Arabidopsis thaliana: one gene and its partners. The protein of the gene in region 1 purifies or fractionates together with the protein of each later gene. This does not show direct contact. Each region holds a gene or a part of one and is shown on either strand. Other genes may lie near its edges.

Region 1 (5,926 bases):
TAACAGATGTCTTCGAAGGGACAAAAATGTCAAATGTCAAATTTGTTTCTGAATCGAACCACCACGGCCAAAACCCCAATCTTTACCGGTCAAAAACATTTTCAGGCAAAATCTGAAAACAAAAAAACATAAATCACCCGCCCAAACAAATTTCAGAGAATTTTCGCACCTCCAAAATTTTTTAGTTGACTCCCAAAAAACTCAAACTCCAAAAAAATCACAGAGAGCGCCACAATCAGAAAAAATGGCGCTTTTGCTCTTCCCTTTTTCTTCCCCTTCTCACCTTCTCTTCTTCCACTCATCCGATCTCTCAATCCTCTCAAATCTCAAACTCTCTCTTCCCATCACTCTCTCGCTCTCTCTTCAATCTCATCTCAATCATGACAGAGCAAGAGATCTGCGTGAGGGTTACAAGAGCGGCGGCGAAACGAAAAGCTTCGACGGCGATGGGTATTGACGGAGATCGGGTCAACAAGAAGAGAGTTGTTCTCGGTGAGCTTCTAAACGTCTCCAATGTCAATCTCTTGGCTAATCTCAATCAGAAGAAAGAAACCCAGAAGCCAAAAAGGAATCTTAAACCTCCTCCGGCGAAACAGATTAAGTCAGCTCCGGTGGCTATTATTGACCTAGAATCAAAATCTGACATTGATTCTCGATCTGATGATCCTCAAATGTGTGGACCTTATGTTGCTGATATCTATGAGTATCTTCGTCAACTTGAGGTAATAATGATCTTGTGTTTTGGATTTAGAATCATTTACTTAGTTCTTGAATTGGATCTGAATTGGATTTGGTGAATTCAGGTGAAGCCAAAGCAGAGACCTTTACCAGATTACATAGAGAAAGTTCAGAAAGATGTAACACCAAGTATGAGAGGTGTTTTGGTTGATTGGTTAGTGGAAGTTGCTGAAGAGTATAAACTTGGATCTGAAACACTTTATCTCACTGTCTCACATATTGATAGATTCTTGTCTTTAAAGACTGTTAACAAGCAAAAGCTACAGCTTGTTGGAGTTTCTGCTATGCTTATTGCTTCGTAAGTGTTTTATGATTCTTCCTCTCTTGTGTTTGTTGTCATTGTTTATGTATGGAAGCTAATGGAAGTATTGAAATGTTGTAGGAAGTATGAAGAGATAAGTCCTCCTAAAGTGGATGATTTTTGTTACATTACGGATAATACGTTTTCGAAACAAGATGTTGTGAAGATGGAAGCTGATATACTTCTTGCTCTTCAGTTTGAGTTGGGAAGACCAACGATTAATACTTTTATGAGGTTAGATTTGTGTGTATTGGTGATGATTACTTATTGGTTTGTCTTAGTTTCATTGTTCTGATTTTGTGTGTTGGTGTTTGTGTAGACGGTTTACTAGAGTTGCACAAGACGATTTCAAAGTTCCACATTTGCAGCTAGAGCCTCTTTGTTGCTATTTGTCAGAATTGAGTATATTAGATTATAAGACTGTGAAGTTTGTGCCGTCTCTGTTGGCTGCTTCTGCTGTTTTTCTCGCTCGGTTCATCATCCGTCCGAAACAACATCCTTGGGTAAGCATATTTGTCTCAGTCTCTTTCAGGTTTTAGTCTGCTGTGGTCATTGTTTAGAATGAGACACTAATGATTTATGGTTGTGAATATGTAAACAGAACCAAATGTTAGAAGAGTACACAAAGTACAAAGCGGCTGATCTACAAGTGTGTGTTGGAATCATACATGACTTGTATTTGAGCAGAAGAGGAGGTGCTTTACAAGCTGTTAGAGAGAAATATAAGCACCATAAGGTACTTAAACATTACACATTGATAAAATCATTTGAATAAGCAGAGCTTTCTTGATACTTAATGTTGCTTCTTCTCGGTACAGTTCCAATGCGTTGCGACCATGCCTGTTTCACCAGAGCTGCCGGTTACCTTTTGGGAGGATGTTACCATTTGATCTGAGGTTATGCTATCTTAAGCAAATGTTACGGAGCTGGATTACCGAATCTTGTTTCAAATAGTATAATGGACACAGATCTTCAAGTGAAGCTAGAAGAGTAAGAAATATAGAAGTGAAGGCAGGAGCAAATAAGTCTGCGTTATGTGAAGATGTGTGATGTATTATTGAAATCTCTTCTTTTTTATTTACAAAATTTTAGTGTGAAATTCGGAATAATATAATTTTATACAATTATGCAATATGATATAAGTATTTATGTGACATGATCTTATTTTGTTTAAGCATTGAGCCTACTACTGTATGTTTATACTTAATGAAAATTCCTAGAGGGCTAAAACTCTAGAAGACATTGTTGTTAATTTAAAGAAACTAATGAAAATCTCAAGAAACAAAAGAAAAGAAAAGATTGTCTATGAGATTGATAATCAAGTTTACTAAAGAGAGATTAAACTTGAGAAACAAGAAACAAGGGAGCTTTAGCGATGACTTGAAAAGTTTCGGTGTGAAGATCCAAAGACAAAACCATGGTTTCAACTTTCACCCTCGTGTGAACCAGTGAAGTGAGCCATCAACATACACAGGATCTTGGGTGTGAGAAACCAGATAAGGGGATGCAGGACAACGTACCTCCAAGTGTTGGTTGCAAAATCAAAAACTTCACAAGTTGTAGCGTTCTCGTTTAGGCCTAACTCAGCGGAATAAGCAAATCAAATCGAAATTATAATTAGGGTTCTACTTTACAATTTTCTCCAAAGTAAAATTACAAGTTTTAGATTAAAAAAAGATAATTATATGTAATTACTTTTTGAGATTTTTAATCAAGTAAAAAAAGGTAATTTCTCTAAATTAACACGTTTTGGAACGATTTTTTTTTTAATTTCCTTTTTTTAATTACTTGGGATTTCGTGTTCAACAAGTTATTGTTTTGGGCTTTGGTTTAATTTTCCTTTTTTTTTTAGTCTGTCTCATCTCTCATCTGAATTCTGAAACCTGGTTGTTTTAGGATAGAGTCTTCTACTCTATATATAGGACTTAGTGTAAGATTTATTGTTGTTCTTTCGAAGATGTGTTCTTGTTTTTCGATAAATATGGTGTCTAAGAAAGATAAACAGATTCATTCCGACCATAACCCTCAAGATGCTTCCCCGGTAGAGTGGGCGGAAATTCGACATAAGCTACTTGCGTTTCAAGAGAACATTCAATCAGGCTCTGACATTGACGCTAGGTCTGATGATCCACAGATGTGTGGACTTTATGTCTCAGATATCTACGAGTATCTCCGTGAATTAGAGGTACGTAATAAGATCTCCTACTTGCTCTGTTTTTGGACTTAGAACATTGACAAGTTTCAATAGGTCAATTTAGTATACTTTATCTGAAGAGTTTCTATGATTGTTCTCTGTTTGGACTTAGAATTTGTGGATATGTTCTGAAGATTTGTGTTTTTGGTTTGGTGAATATTCAGGTGAAGCCAAAGCTAAGACCTTTACATGATTACATTGAAAAGATTCAAGAAGATATAACACCAAGCAAGAGAGGTGTTTTGGTAGATTGGTTAGTGGAAGTTGCTGAAGAGTTCGAACTCGTGTCTGAAACACTCTATCTCACTGTCTCTTACATTGATAGATTCTTGTCATTAAAGATGGTTAACGAGCACTGGCTTCAGCTTGTGGGAGTTTCTGCAATGTTTATCGCTTCGTAAGTGTTTTTGATCCTCTTGTATTACTCTCTTTGCTATTCATTGTCATGTTGAAACTTACATATGGAGTGGCTTCTCTTTTTTGGCATTTGATATAAATAGGAAGTATGAAGAGAAACGTCGCCCTAAAGTGGAGGATTTTTGTTACATTACGGCTAATACTTATACGAAACAAGATGTGTTGAAGATGGAAGAGGATATACTTCTCGCGCTTGAGTTTGAACTAGGAAGGCCTACGACAAATACTTTTCTAAGGTTAGAATTGTGATGAATAATACTGACTTTTGGTTGTATCTTATGGTTCTTTGTTCTCATCTTTTGTTGTGTTTGTGCAGACGGTTCATAAGGGTTGCACAAGAAGATTTCAAAGTGCCAAACTTGCAGCTAGAGCCTCTTTGTTGCTATCTGTCAGAACTAAGTATGTTAGATTATAGTTGTGTGAAGTTTGTTCCATCTTTGTTGGCTGCTTCTGCTGTCTTTCTCGCTCGATTCATCATCCTTCCTAACCAACATCCTTGGGTAAGAACTTTTGTCTCAATCTCTCTTTTTCAGGTTTATATGTTGAGTTAATCTTTTGAATGAGACACTAATAATCTATGGCTTGTAATGTAAAACAGAGTCAAATGTTGGAAGAATGCACAAAGTACAAAGCGGCTGATCTACAAGTGTGTGTGGAGATCATGCTTGACTTGTACCTGAGCAGAAGTGAAGGTGCTTCAAAAGCTGTTAGAGAGAAATACAAGCAACATAAGGTAATTGACATATTACAAATTATGAAATCATTTGATTTAATTAGTAGTATCATTTATACTTAAATGTTGCTTTTTATGGTACAGTTCCAATACGTTGCGGCAATTCCTGTCTACCAAGAGCTTCCGGTTACCTTTTGGGAGGATGTTGTTACCATTTGATCAGAACCAATCTTTCATTTCCCAATTGTTACTGAGCTCGATTACTAAGGGACACTGATCAACAGTTGAAGCTAGAGGAGTCATATGTTATATGTATCGAAGTGAAGCAGGAGCAAATAATTTGTGTTGTGAAGATGTATTGTGTTATTACTTGATTAACATTGTGGTGACAAATTAATGTGTTACTCTGGAAATTTATACGATTATGCAATATGATAAGAAGTATTTTATGTGACATGATTTTATTTGTTTAATCATTGAGCCTCCTATGACAAAATTTATAAGTTCCTAGAAGGCCAAAACTTTAGTAGTCAATAATTTACTTCAAATGGTATCGAAACCAGATGAATGGGAAGACATGACAAGATAAGCCTTTAGACTTGCTATGATCCTTGACAAAAACAAAACAAAACAGAAATTGTTCATTTAAGTCAATAAAAAGGCAATTTCTACAAGTGAACCCTTATTGGAAAGATTATTTGGTAGAATTGGTCTGGTCATTTCCAACATACGTTTATTAGATAATAACAGATAGGCGGATCATATAAGATAGAGTTGTCAAATCGGGGTGTCCATGTCCATTAGCCCAATCCAATAATGTCTATTTTGATATTGGACGAACATAGTCCGTATCCATTAACACCTTTGTCCAATCCAATAATGTCCATTTTAATATTCGATTTTTCCTCAAATCGATTTAACCTAACATTATAAGACTATTGGGCCGCCCATGTCCATCATATCTACTCTGCTAAAGTTCATATCCGTTAACGACTATAACCATTAAAGCCCGTTTTATAATGGCTTTATCCATGACTCGGTCCATTAAGTATTGGACGCAGGCAGCCCACGGGCCGCACACCCATTTTGACAACTCTAATATAAGATAAGTGTCCGTTGGTGTCAATTATTTTTGTTAAATTAATAGCTGAATTTGTCGAAAAAATTATATAGGAAATGGTGTTAAATGAATTCCTAGTTCAATGATTTTTTTTTATTATTGTTTAGACAAAATATTTTCATATGGTTTAGTGGATTTATTTTTCTGTATCCAAAAAAAAATCAAAAATGTAAAACTAAACCCAAAAAAAGTATAAAAAAAAAACAAATGCAAAACCGATTTTTTTTTAAATTTTTTAAAAGCATCTCACTTAATTCCGAATCTTAACCAAAACCGAAAAAAAAACAAATCAACTACTAATAATTTCCTTAATTAAAAGCATTCATTGATTGTTATTTTCATCTTTAATTAAGTGAATAAAACAATAATGATTGTCTAAATATAGGAGTGAAACTTTTTGAAGGGTAAAAAGGAGAAAACAGCCGCCAAATAAATGTGGAAATGAAATCTGCAAAAAAGCCCCAAATTTTGGATACTCAAAAG
Region 2 (5,926 bases), about 12 Mb from region 1:
TGCTGCATCAGTCTCTACTTTTGGCGTGGCCACCTACTCACAGTTGTTTGTATTATTATCTCTCAGTTAGGTGGGTGTACATTTACCACGTGATTCCCTTGATTTGATATCAAACATTACAATCCGGTACATACGAGGACAAGCTACTTACCATGCATGTACAAGAAATACGCATTTACACAAGGAGTGATAACAGCTATACTAATTTATTGAGAGAGTATTGCACTCTATTAAATATATCACATACACCATTATTTTTTCAATATCAGCATAAGATTTATAAATACATAATGCTTTATCTATGTTTATACTCTAAATTCTTTATATATATAAAGCCTTTGAAATAATATTTTAAAATTTACTAATCGATCCCAAAAATTACAGGATAGTTCTGTGTTAATATCGTTGTTGTAATCGTAAATCAAATTCAAATCCCATGAACTGTGCGGATCATAGTAATGTTATTTGATCTACCGAATTCAAATTCGGCAAGAAACACTAAACCCGTGGCTAATCTGATCATACCGACACTAATGATCACATCAACCACATAACTTCCAATTGACTACAATATGGAGTTATGGATGCCAATTTCAATTTGGGCTTATGGATGCCAATTTGGGCTTATTAGATCCAGACCGGCTTACCATTCTCGATGTTGGAGGTTTTAATCGCCAAACTGCACTATTGTCTTTTACAGCAACATTGGCGTGATAAGCTTGGTCAGGTAGAAGAGTCGTATTGGCGTAATTACATATCAAAGTAACAAATTAATAATCATTATAGATTAACGATCATTAATTAAACTCATAGTTACAATGCATAAAAACTAGGACAAGCCATTAAATCCAGAAAACACAGGAATCTGCTACAGCAAAGACATACATTCTCTACACTCAAACCACCTCACAGATGCTCTGCATTATTTAAGAAAGACAACACACGAAAGTAAAACAGAGAGCATCTTAAGTCCGAACCATATGACAAGAGAAACATATTTACTCAGGTACAAATTTCTTCCTGAGCTCAGAGACGAATTCAGTAACCTTCTCAGGATCAGGCAAGGACTTAGCCACGCTCTCCCTCTGCAAACACTTCTTAACCCAAGCAATCAGTTTCGGAACCTCAGATTCGATACTGAAGTTAGCAAACTTCTCGTATGCTGGAAACCATGTGTAGAATCCAATCAACGCAATGTCTACATAGCCAAAGTCATCGCCACTAAAGTAAGGTTTGTCTCCAAGCTCAGATTCAAGAGTCTTGAGTATCTCAATGAAATCCTTCTTCCCTGCCTCTTGTTCCTCACCCTTTGTCGCCCACACCTTCCTCTGAGCATCATACAGCTGAAACATTGCACAGAGTAACATAACACCAAGCTATGTCAGAACTCAGTCGAACCCAAACAAAGCTCAAAGATGATGTCTACAAAGCAAAACCAGTCCTAGAGACCCCCAAATTGCAAAAGAAACATATCATCAAACTATCTAAGATGAACCCAAACAAAGCTCAAAGATGATATCTACTAGCGAAACTAGTATGTAAAAACCTCAAATTGCACAAGTAACATAACATTAAACTATCTAAGAAGACAAACCCTGACTAGCTCAGAGATGAGTCCACAAGAAAAATCTGAAATTTGGAGGTGAGATCTCTAACCCTAACAACTACAAACTCAAGTAATATTATAACATCAGACAAACCCATACAAGCTCAAAGACGAGTCTACAAGCAAAACCCTAAATTTGAGCCAATCACTAGCAAACTCAACTAAAGTTTCAATTTTTATGAAATCCCAAGTTCAATTTCAACATTATTCAATCAAGGGCACAAAGGAAATAAGATACCTTCTTGTCAATGAAATCAGCCCAGAACCTAGCTTGAGCTCTCAGGTAAGGATCAGAAGGAAGGATAGGGTTCTTGTGAGACCAGACCTCGTCAATGTACTGAACCTGGATGATAGATTCGTTAACCGGTTTACCATTGTGGATGAGAACAGGAATCTTCTTGTGAATCGGATTCATCTGGAGAAGCAAAGGACTCTTGTTCCTTAGATCTTCTTCTCTGTACTCAAATTCAACACCTTTCTCCCTCAATGCGATCCTTGTCCTCATCCCGAACATACTCGGCCAGAAATCAAGAAGAATCACCTCGTTCGCCATTGTTACGATCGCTAAAGCTCACAAAGAGATTTTTTTTTGTAAGTGTTCGTCTTTCTCGATTTGTTTGGTTGGGACACTACCTGTAAGGGTTTAGGTAATTTATAGATGAGAATATTTATGATACAATAATGGATTGTGCTGACTCTAGTCGTTACGTCACACCACTCTTTAAAAACATGTGGCCAGATTTTAAAGCTTTTTAAAGTAATAATTTATAATTACAGTATTTTCTTTTTACGTAACATATCTTCATTCGCCTTTTTTTTATCTGTTGACCATTATAGTGTTTTATATAGTAACTTGCAAATATTCGTGTGGACTCTATGATTGAAAAAAGAAAAAAAATCGTCTGAAATCTATTATCATAGTAGCAAATTTGGATTTTGGATGTTAAAGGAAATTATGGATTTCAGTTGACCAGAAACCATAATGGATTTCTAAATCAAGATTTTAGATTTCTTAGCACTGCGTTTAATTATTTTAAAAGTTGATGGAAAAGATTATTTTGTTGTAAGAAAATAACTGGATGGATTAACACAGTTTTAAATTATGTGAACAATTAATTTGACTAATGAGTATTGACGTTTTATTTCGGCACAATGTATCATTACCTGATGAAAATATCATTTATTTATAGAAGAAATGATTCATATTGAAACTTAGTTGAAAAACGTGCAAAAAAATACAGAGGACTTAGAAAAGCGAGCCAAATTTCTAGAAAGCTGTGTAGGTTGAAGAGGTGGAAGATACGTTCACGTTACCAGAATTAACTGGAAATTTTCGAGATATTTCGATGGAACTGTAGAGATTGTGTTACGTCAATAATTGTATTTATACAATTGACGTGACCACATGATCTCGAGAAGCTTGGCGACATTGATCACGAAAGCGAGAGAAGATCCTGGTTCAGTATTGGTTCTATCTTATTTTTGTTTTGGTCATGGACTTATGGTGAATTGGGCCTATATTTTACAAAAAACAATGGATCTGAACCGGGCTTCGAAAAACAGTTTTTCTTATTTGAAAACCCATTAATAAAAACAAAATCATAAGAGCGAGCAAGAAAAAAATCATACCTGACCTTTCAGAACTCCTGTGGCCAAACAAAATGATCTTCTTATTTTTAAATTCTCTTATTTTTAATTCCAAAAGATATAAACTCGCGCCAAAAATTTATGTAACTGATGCTTTAGTATCTTTAACATAGCTAGATCTATTATAAACCTATAATAGACTAGTTAACAAATTTAGCCAAATTGGATATGTCACCAGAGAAAGCAAAATCAGCTACATTGGGTATTTATATTTCGTCGAGTAATATACGGGATTTTTTTCAGGCAGATAATGTGATCTATTCATTATAGACATATATGATTGTTTCATAAGAAGAAACTAGCTCAACATACTCATATCTGCGTTGGGTTCGATATCTCACGACACGTAGCAACATACTCATGTCATAACATGATACATCTTACAATATACACAAAATAGTTGACTAAAAAAAAGCACACACACATTAGGATAAGAAGATACTTAAATTGTTATTTTTCATTGATGATTTCGAATGTGTATCTGTATCTGGAAGTCTCTATAGTGTGTAGACTTTGATCTAGAAACATCGAATGGACCCTACGCACTGTATTACGTGGCATTTTAGTTTCAACCTACAAACTCGTTACTTGATTTTGTATATTCTAATGTTTTTGAGGCGTCAAATTCCGAGACATCAACGTATTTTTCGGCGAATATACTATTTAAAAGTCATGTACAAAAATACGTATGATCTTGATGAGATTTTCCCTAGTATGATTACATATTTGATAAAAACTATTTATTTAGAAAAAAGACACAGCAGTATGCACGTTATAAATCAAAAAATGGTCTTTTTCCATGTCAAAAAAAAAAGATAGTTCCCGGAAAAAAAGAGTGGCCATGAAGTGTATTACATGTTCAAAGATTAGAATCAATCGATTGGCTACTGTGAAATGCGAGTGCTTATGTATACGCTTACGTGTATGCACTTTAGAACCAATAAGAGTAGGATAAAAGATCACAAGTCAAAACTGTGAGATGTTTCCCGTTTGCTTAAAGTAGAAATCGCAACAACCTCAACGTAAATTCATGAATAAAATAAGCTGTCAACAAGTTAAACCCATAAATGCATCTTTTTGGTTTATAATTAAATTGCATAAATAAAGTTTTGACTTGTTTATTTTAATGAACTGAATTAGTTTGGACCTTTAAATTCTATTTCTAATGGTATTCCTAAGTAATATTTTATAAAATACAAGGTTAGTTTTTTTATGTAATTTCGAAATATAAGTATAGGGATATGGATTTCTTACTTTAAAAGAAGAAGAATAAAAAAACAATAATTCGTATTGTGGTAATTTCGTAATTTGTAATACCAATTATTGCAAGAAGAACAAAAAACGAACAGACGAAAAACGAGCAGATAAATAAAAGTTGTTGATAATTGTAAAAAAGACAAAGAACGATCAGAAAGATTAAAGTAGACCTCATTCCCAAAACAGAGATCACATGAGATATTTTCGGGTTTCCATTTTCGAAGGTCAAATTCCTTCTATAAGAAGCTTCTCTAGCTCTACACAGTTCATTCACATGCAGCTCACAGAGATATTTGGGGAAGCTTACATAATATAGAAAAGATATCAGCATAAACCTTCTAAGATAATCAAGTTTAGTGTGTCGACTATATTTAGCTATTTTTATAAGTAATGCATTTTTCTCATCGTTTATAACAATAACTCCACTTTAATCTACTTTAATAACCATCTTTAATAAATCAGTTTTGATCAAATCTATAAATTTTTATGCTAACAAATTCTGTGTGTAAATTAAAACTTTACTACAAAACTTTGTACACAGTTGGATCATTGGACACTTGATCATAGTATATACATAATACATAATCACAGTATATACGTATAACTAAAATTCAAGAAACTCGTTGCCGGGGACTAATGCATAACAATCCCTCAGGCAACAATCCTATGTCACTAATCACTATCACTCATATTAACATTTATAAGATCCTACAAAAATCTAAAACTAACACAAAGCTTGCTTCGATAAATCTTCCTTACTGATGAACGTTCCGTGGAAACCGTAAGGCACTCTCGACGGAAGCGTTACGGTAGCTTCAAGCTTCATATTAACGGCGTTTATGAGTTGGAGTTCCGATTTCACCTTCTCCTCGTCGTGAACGAACACCATTATGTAACCTCCGTCTTCTTCTCCGTCACCGGAAGGTAGAAACAGAGGCTCTCCTCCGTATTTCCCCTCTCCGTAAATATACTTTCGAATCTCTCCGGTCGATAAGTCCACTTTAGCGAAACCGGACACTTTAGGCCACGGTTCGGTTAAAGCCAGATAAGCATACCGGGTTTTTCTACCTAATAAATTCCGGTTGACCATACCAGCTTCGAGATTAACTTGTTCCGAGATAACCGGTCTACGTGTTGATTCCCCTGTTTTAAGGTTTAGCCTTATCTCCGACAAAACACTCTGAAGTGTTTCGTCGTGTTCGTTGAAAATTGAATCAGGTGGCGTCATGCATGATCCAATCACGACAACCTCGTCTGTTTCTGGTTCTTCCCAAGAGTTCCATAGATGGAAACAAAAACAATCTGGTACTTCGATCCATTGAATCGACGAAGCATCTTTCGCGTTTTTATTCAAAATCCCGAATCTTGATTTCTTCTTCTCGTCGTAAACCACCGGAGAACCACCTCTTATCATCT
Region 3 (5,926 bases), 2.6 Mb from region 1:
TTTTTTGCTTAGAAGATGAGTGTGGCTTGAAAACTAAGGGTTCATGGTTTTTTTTTGGAAACTTCAACAGATCAGATTTTCTTGGGACCAACTTTACAGTATACGATAGCCAACCACCACACAACGGAGCAAAACCTTCAAATGGCAAAGCCAGTCGCAGATTTGCATCAAAGCAGATAAGCCCTCAAGTTCCAGCAGGCAACTTTGAAGTCGGTCATGTTTCTTATAAATTCAACCTTTTGAAATCAAGAGGTCCAAGAAGAATGGTAAGCACACTCCGATGCCCATCACCATCACCTTCATCATCATCCGCTGGACTCTCGTCTGACCAAAAGCCATGTGATGTAACCAAGATAATGAAAAAACCCAACAAGGATGGTTCCAGCTTGACAATACTAAAGAACAAAGCTCCTAGATGGCACGAGCACTTGCAGTGCTGGTGTCTGAACTTCCATGGACGAGTTACTGTTGCTTCGGTCAAGAACTTTCAGCTGGTTGCGACCGTTGACCAAAGTCAACCGAGCGGTAAAGGCGATGAAGAAACAGTTCTTCTACAGTTTGGTAAAGTGGGAGATGACACTTTCACTATGGATTATAGACAGCCTCTCTCTGCATTTCAGGCTTTTGCTATCTGTCTCACAAGTTTCGGCACTAAACTTGCCTGCGAGTGAAACCCAACAAAAGGCAACAGAAAAGAAAAAGTGAACTGGCTTTGCAAAAATGTAATGTTTTGATGTAATCATGTGTAAGTGTAAACACAAAGGTATGTGGAAAGGAGAAGCACATAAGTATTATTATGTAAGAAACATTATTTAAAACCCATAATCATAATGTATCTCTTAAGTATACCCATGTGGTTTTCTTTTATTTTTGAATAGAATTTGGGACTTCACATTCCTTCAAAGTAGGACTTCAATGGTTTTTTGGAAACATGACTTATTTGCAAAATATATACAAAAACAATGAATAGCAAGACTTTTTTCTTTTTGTCAGCAATGAATAGCAAGACTTAAGTAACATATTTTTAATTTTTGGCTTATACACAAGAAAAAAGTCGCATATTTTTGGTTTGGAACTTGAGCCGGTTCGATGTCTGACAAGTCGATTTGAAAAACTTCTTTATAATTTTTTACTTTTCGGTTTTATATTCTTTTGTATTTTACAACTGGATCTTGTTTATATATATCAATATATGTGAAATGAGCGTACTAGTACTATTATTGGTGTGGAATACTTTCGCATGCCCTAGTCTTAACTCTTAAGGATAAGTAAGGGCAGGTTTCTCTTTGTTTTCCAAATTTATCGTTCAATATTTCTTAAATTAGGATATAATGTACAATTAATCGTTCATTTCTTTTAATTAGAACCGTAGTTTGTACACATCACTACATAGCCACACTATAGTAATTAAGTGAAGCCTCATCAGAAAAGGAAAACGATCTATAGATGAAAAAGTTAAATACCCAAGAGAAGTGATTTTCAGTTAAAAGTATAGTTTTTGCTAAAAATATTTATAACGGCATTAATCACGATACTCGCGTAAGTAGTATACTCTACCATATACTATCTTTTAGTGAGTCGGAAATATGTCATAAGCCATTACGCGACCATGCAATATTGCTTCCGTAAGCATCCGCACTAGTAAAGTGTCCAAATGGATGCCGTCAAAACAACAAAAGTGTTTTAAAAAAGAACCGAAACAAGTTTTCACACTTGGTCCTTAGCTTCTCAAACTCTTCTTCGTCCTGATAATGGACTTTAATTATCATGTTATACGTCAACCAAGTTATCAGCTAACCATCATCACTTTATTAAGTATATGCAGCCTTGTGCTCATAATATTCATTATATTATACTAAAAGTCTAATCATATGAAGAAAGGAAAAAAAAAAAAAGAGGCTTGTTTATGAAATTAAGGAGTGCACGTAAGGCCATATTTATAATTCTATTTCAGAAAATGTAAATTCAAACACGGCAAATATGTTAGTTTCATGGTGCATGCATGATGCATTTCCAACTGTTTCTTTTTTTGGGGATGAAAATGTATTTCCACCGGTTAATTAACGAAGCTTCTATTTCATGTTTCCGTTTTCTTTTACTTTTTTTTTTTGTTTTTACTTCATATATATCATTTGACAAAGTTAAGGCTTTAAAATGGCAGTAGTTTCTTAATTTGTTTTTAGATTTTGGATTTATGGTGTTTAGTTCTTAGTTTTTTTTTGCAGTAAATTTTTAGTTTTATATAAATGTATGTACCCAATACATATCACTATATATTTTATAGTCCAAAAGAATTTTATGTGATGGTGAAAAGAAAAAAATGTGTGATCATTCGCTGAAATTAATAAATTTTGCAGTATATTAAAGAAAACTAGAAAAGTGAGTACCTAATATTCCAACAATTAGACTGTATCACTCATGCCTGTCGTCTGTCGACTGTTGACTTGTGTTATAATAAAGACATTTCAAATTATCCGAATATTCCATTAGCACATATGAAGATATCCAATTTTTGAATAATTGGAGTCGACCAATGTAAAATATTCATAACGTGACATCACATCACATACATGTACGACTTTGTCACTTACCAAAAATGATCTAGTTATGATAATAACATCATCACATGAGTAAGAATGATAAGGCATGATCTAATCAGCATCATATACCGCTACTTTATTTACTATCACATTTTCGTTCACAAGAGTAATATTATATTTGATTTTATATATGTCTAAAAATTTATCGTAGACTGCCGATTTTAGATTTTGGGAGGTTAGAAGAACTAATAAAACCGAAAGAAATAGATGATGGTCGGTTAAATACTTAAGTCCTTTATAAGAAAGAAAAATTAAAAGTCAACTTTATCGCTGAAAGTGAAAGTTAGGTTGAAAGTTCAGAGATTTATTCATCAACTTCCGTGCATTGACACATGCTCTTCTCTACATTCGCTCACGTGAATTTTAGAACAACAAATTATTTTACAAACACTATAATCTTCCGGTAATTTAACCACAATAAAGAGATAAATAATCTTTATATTAAATCGATCGAATTCTAATTCTGTAGGTACTGTGAGTCAAACATGAAAGTGTAAATTTTCAAAATATGATTGGTGTTAACTTAGGTGAATCAATTTTTGATGTTTTTTTGTTGATTATATAAATCAAAATTACGGAAGAATGCATGTTGTTTACATAAGTGATATAATTAATTTTTTACTGATATATTAAAAATAAAAATATTTTATGTTATTGTTTTGGTTATTTTTTTGTTCCACAAAAATTAATTAATCATAATATTTCTTTCTTGACTATCACTAGATTCAATGAAAATCTCTCTTTTATACATAAATAAAAATCTTCTCAATGCATTAATAAATATATATAAATTGAGGAAAAAAAGAGATAGAAATCATGGAAAAAAAGGTTAAAAATTCCAACTATAAGCGAGCATCACATATAGAAATAGAATAATGTATAGGAATCCATCATGATCTCACTCTCTATATATAGGTAAGCCAAGTATCTTATTTTTGGTTATGTATCTCTGAAATCTGAATCTGACTGACTTCAAAGGACACAGCTTTTACTTCTATAACTGGTTAGCTTCTCCACACACACACACACTTGTTAGATTTACTTTTCCTCCGCACTATCAGCAGATTTTTCTCATCTGGGTCTGTTTGTTTCTGTTGACTCAAAGTTTCCGACTTTCTTATTTTCTGTCTCCGATTTCATCGCCGAAATCTCAGTCAATTTTGTCTTTAGATCTTTAATTTTTGGATCCCTTTAATTATTTTGTTTGGTCTTACTTCAGAGCGAAGCAGGTGAAAAAATGGCGAATCGGAAGTTAGAGAAGATGGCATCGATTGATGTTCATCTTCGTCAACTGGTTCCTGGCAAAGTTAGTGAAGACGACAAGCTTGTTGAGTATGATGCTTTGCTTCTAGATCGGTTTCTCGATATCCTCCAGGATTTGCACGGTGAAGATCTCCGTGAAACTGTACGTTTTCTCCATTTTGGATTTGACCCTTTTGCTATAAGATCCTGAAACTACATGCTCTGTTTTGAGTATTGACTAAAGGTTTCAACTTTTTTTGATTCGATCATGGATTAGATTAGTTAGGGTTTTGAAACGCAGGAAGATTTAAACTTTATGTTAGTTTTGAGATTAGTAGTTTCATGTGATCTAATTTTGATGATCTTATTGTGTGTGTTGTTGTATATAGGTTCAAGAGCTTTATGAGCATTCTGCAGAATACGAAGGGAAGCATGAACCTAAGAAGCTAGAGGAGCTAGGGAGTGTGCTAACGAGTTTAGATCCAGGAGATTCCATTGTTATCGCTAAAGCTTTCTCTCATATGCTTAACTTAGCCAATTTGGCTGAGGAAGTGCAGATTGCTTATCGCCGTAGGATCAAGAAGCTGAAGAAAGGTGATTTTGTTGATGAGAGCTCTGCTACTACTGAATCTGATCTTGAAGAAACTTTCAAGAAGCTTGTTGGAGATCTGAACAAGTCTCCTGAAGAGATCTTTGATGCTCTCAAGAATCAGACTGTGGATTTGGTTTTGACTGCTCATCCTACTCAGTCTGTGAGAAGATCATTGCTTCAGAAACATGGGAGGTTAGTCTTTGAGGCTTCACCGGGCTTGCTTTGGATCGATGTTTTGATGTTAAAGTTATCTACTTTGTGCGGTTTTTCAGGATAAGAGACTGTCTGGCTCAACTATATGCTAAGGATATTACTCCTGATGACAAGCAAGAGCTCGATGAGGCTCTTCAGAGAGAGGTAAAATCTTATTGGATTCTTCATATTTACATGATTTTGGAAACTAATGGAAAAAAAACTTGGGTTTTTGTTAGATTCAAGCTGCATTCCGAACAGATGAAATCAAAAGAACACCACCTACTCCTCAAGATGAGATGAGAGCGGGAATGAGTTATTTCCATGAAACTATCTGGAAAGGTGTTCCTAAGTTTCTGCGCCGTGTTGACACGGCTTTGAAAAACATAGGGATCGAAGAACGTGTTCCATATAATGCTCCATTGATTCAGTTCTCTTCTTGGATGGGTGGTGATCGTGACGGTACATTTCTACAAGTCCTTCTCGCATAGCTCTCTTATTGCGCTCCCTCTCTTAATGGTTTTACTCATGTCACAAACTCACAATATATGTGTATTTGCAGGTAACCCAAGGGTTACACCTGAAGTCACCAGAGATGTTTGCTTGTTAGCTAGAATGATGGCTGCTACTATGTACTTTAACCAAATCGAAGATCTTATGTTTGAGGTTTGATCTCGAGTTCTTTTTTTGAGTTTAGTCTCCTTACTTTCTTTTATTTATGTATCACCTCATTTCATGATTACTGCTTCTTTCATAGATGTCTATGTGGCGTTGCAATGACGAGCTGCGTGCGCGAGCTGATGAAGTTCATGCAAATTCGAGGAAAGATGCTGCAAAACATTACATAGGTAAGAAAAATAACCGATTTTGAGCATTTTGTTTATGTTTAAGCTATGTGTCTGGAACCGATTTAATTTGGAACCTATCATTCATTGTCTTGATTGCAGAATTCTGGAAGTCAATTCCTACAACTGAGCCATACCGTGTGATTCTTGGCGATGTAAGGGACAAGCTTTATCACACACGTGAACGCGCTCATCAACTGCTCAGCAATGGACACTCTGATGTCCCTGTAGAGGCTACTTTCATTAACTTGGAACAGGTATCATTGCAATTAGAATCTTTTAACTCCCGGTTATGATTTGGTACTAAACCACTCTCTCATGCTATTTGTGTAGTTCTTGGAACCTCTTGAGCTCTGTTACCGATCTCTGTGTTCATGTGGTGATCGTCCAATAGCAGATGGAAGCCTTCTTGATTTCTTGAGGCAAGTCTCAACCTTTGGGCTCTCTCTTGTGAG

Evidence for each region.
Region 2: the proteins of CYCA3;3 (region 1) and GSTU19 purify together in Arabidopsis thaliana (affinity purification with mass spectrometry, with the first as the bait; one large-scale study listed by BioGRID). This does not show direct contact.
Region 3: the proteins of CYCA3;3 (region 1) and PPC1 purify together in Arabidopsis thaliana (affinity purification with mass spectrometry, with the first as the bait; one large-scale study listed by BioGRID). This does not show direct contact.

What each region holds. Positions count from the first base shown.
Region 1 is NC_003070.9:17,300,656-17,306,581, forward strand, and holds CYCA3;3 (Cyclin A3;3), read left to right. Parts: upstream 1-3,020; coding exon 3,021-3,224; intron 3,225-3,397; coding exon 3,398-3,630; intron 3,631-3,733; coding exon 3,734-3,886; intron 3,887-3,966; coding exon 3,967-4,150; intron 4,151-4,248; coding exon 4,249-4,383; intron 4,384-4,467; coding exon 4,468-4,542; downstream 4,543-5,926. Other genes in the region: CYCA3;2 (cyclin-dependent protein kinase 3;2), read left to right, coding at 381-722, 804-1,036, 1,121-1,273, 1,359-1,542, 1,641-1,775, 1,858-1,929.
Region 2 is NC_003070.9:29,485,661-29,491,586, forward strand, and holds GSTU19 (glutathione S-transferase TAU 19), read right to left. Parts: upstream 2,348-5,926; 5' UTR 2,160-2,347; coding exon 1,845-2,159; intron 1,344-1,844; coding exon 999-1,343; 3' UTR 727-998; downstream 1-726. Other genes in the region: NCED9 (nine-cis-epoxycarotenoid dioxygenase 9), read right to left, coding at 5,235-5,926. UniProt on the Arabidopsis thaliana protein: Catalyzes the glutathionylation of 12-oxophytodienoate (OPDA). In vitro, possesses glutathione S-transferase activity toward 1-chloro-2,4-dinitrobenzene (CDNB) and benzyl isothiocyanate (BITC), and glutathione peroxidase activity toward cumene hydroperoxide.
Region 3 is NC_003070.9:19,885,982-19,891,907, reverse strand, and holds the start of PPC1 (phosphoenolpyruvate carboxylase 1), read left to right. Parts: upstream 1-3,494; 5' UTR 3,495-3,603; exon of another isoform or gene 3,604-3,819; 5' UTR 3,820-3,837; coding exon 3,838-4,005; intron 4,006-4,231; coding exon 4,232-4,626; intron 4,627-4,706; coding exon 4,707-4,791; intron 4,792-4,865; coding exon 4,866-5,088; intron 5,089-5,188; coding exon 5,189-5,292; intron 5,293-5,383; coding exon 5,384-5,474; intron 5,475-5,573; coding exon 5,574-5,728; intron 5,729-5,804; coding exon 5,805-5,926. Other genes in the region: TLP7 (tubby like protein 7), read left to right, coding at 71-671. UniProt on the Arabidopsis thaliana protein: Through the carboxylation of phosphoenolpyruvate (PEP) it forms oxaloacetate, a four-carbon dicarboxylic acid source for the tricarboxylic acid cycle. Contributes probably to the adaptation to inorganic phosphate (Pi) deprivation.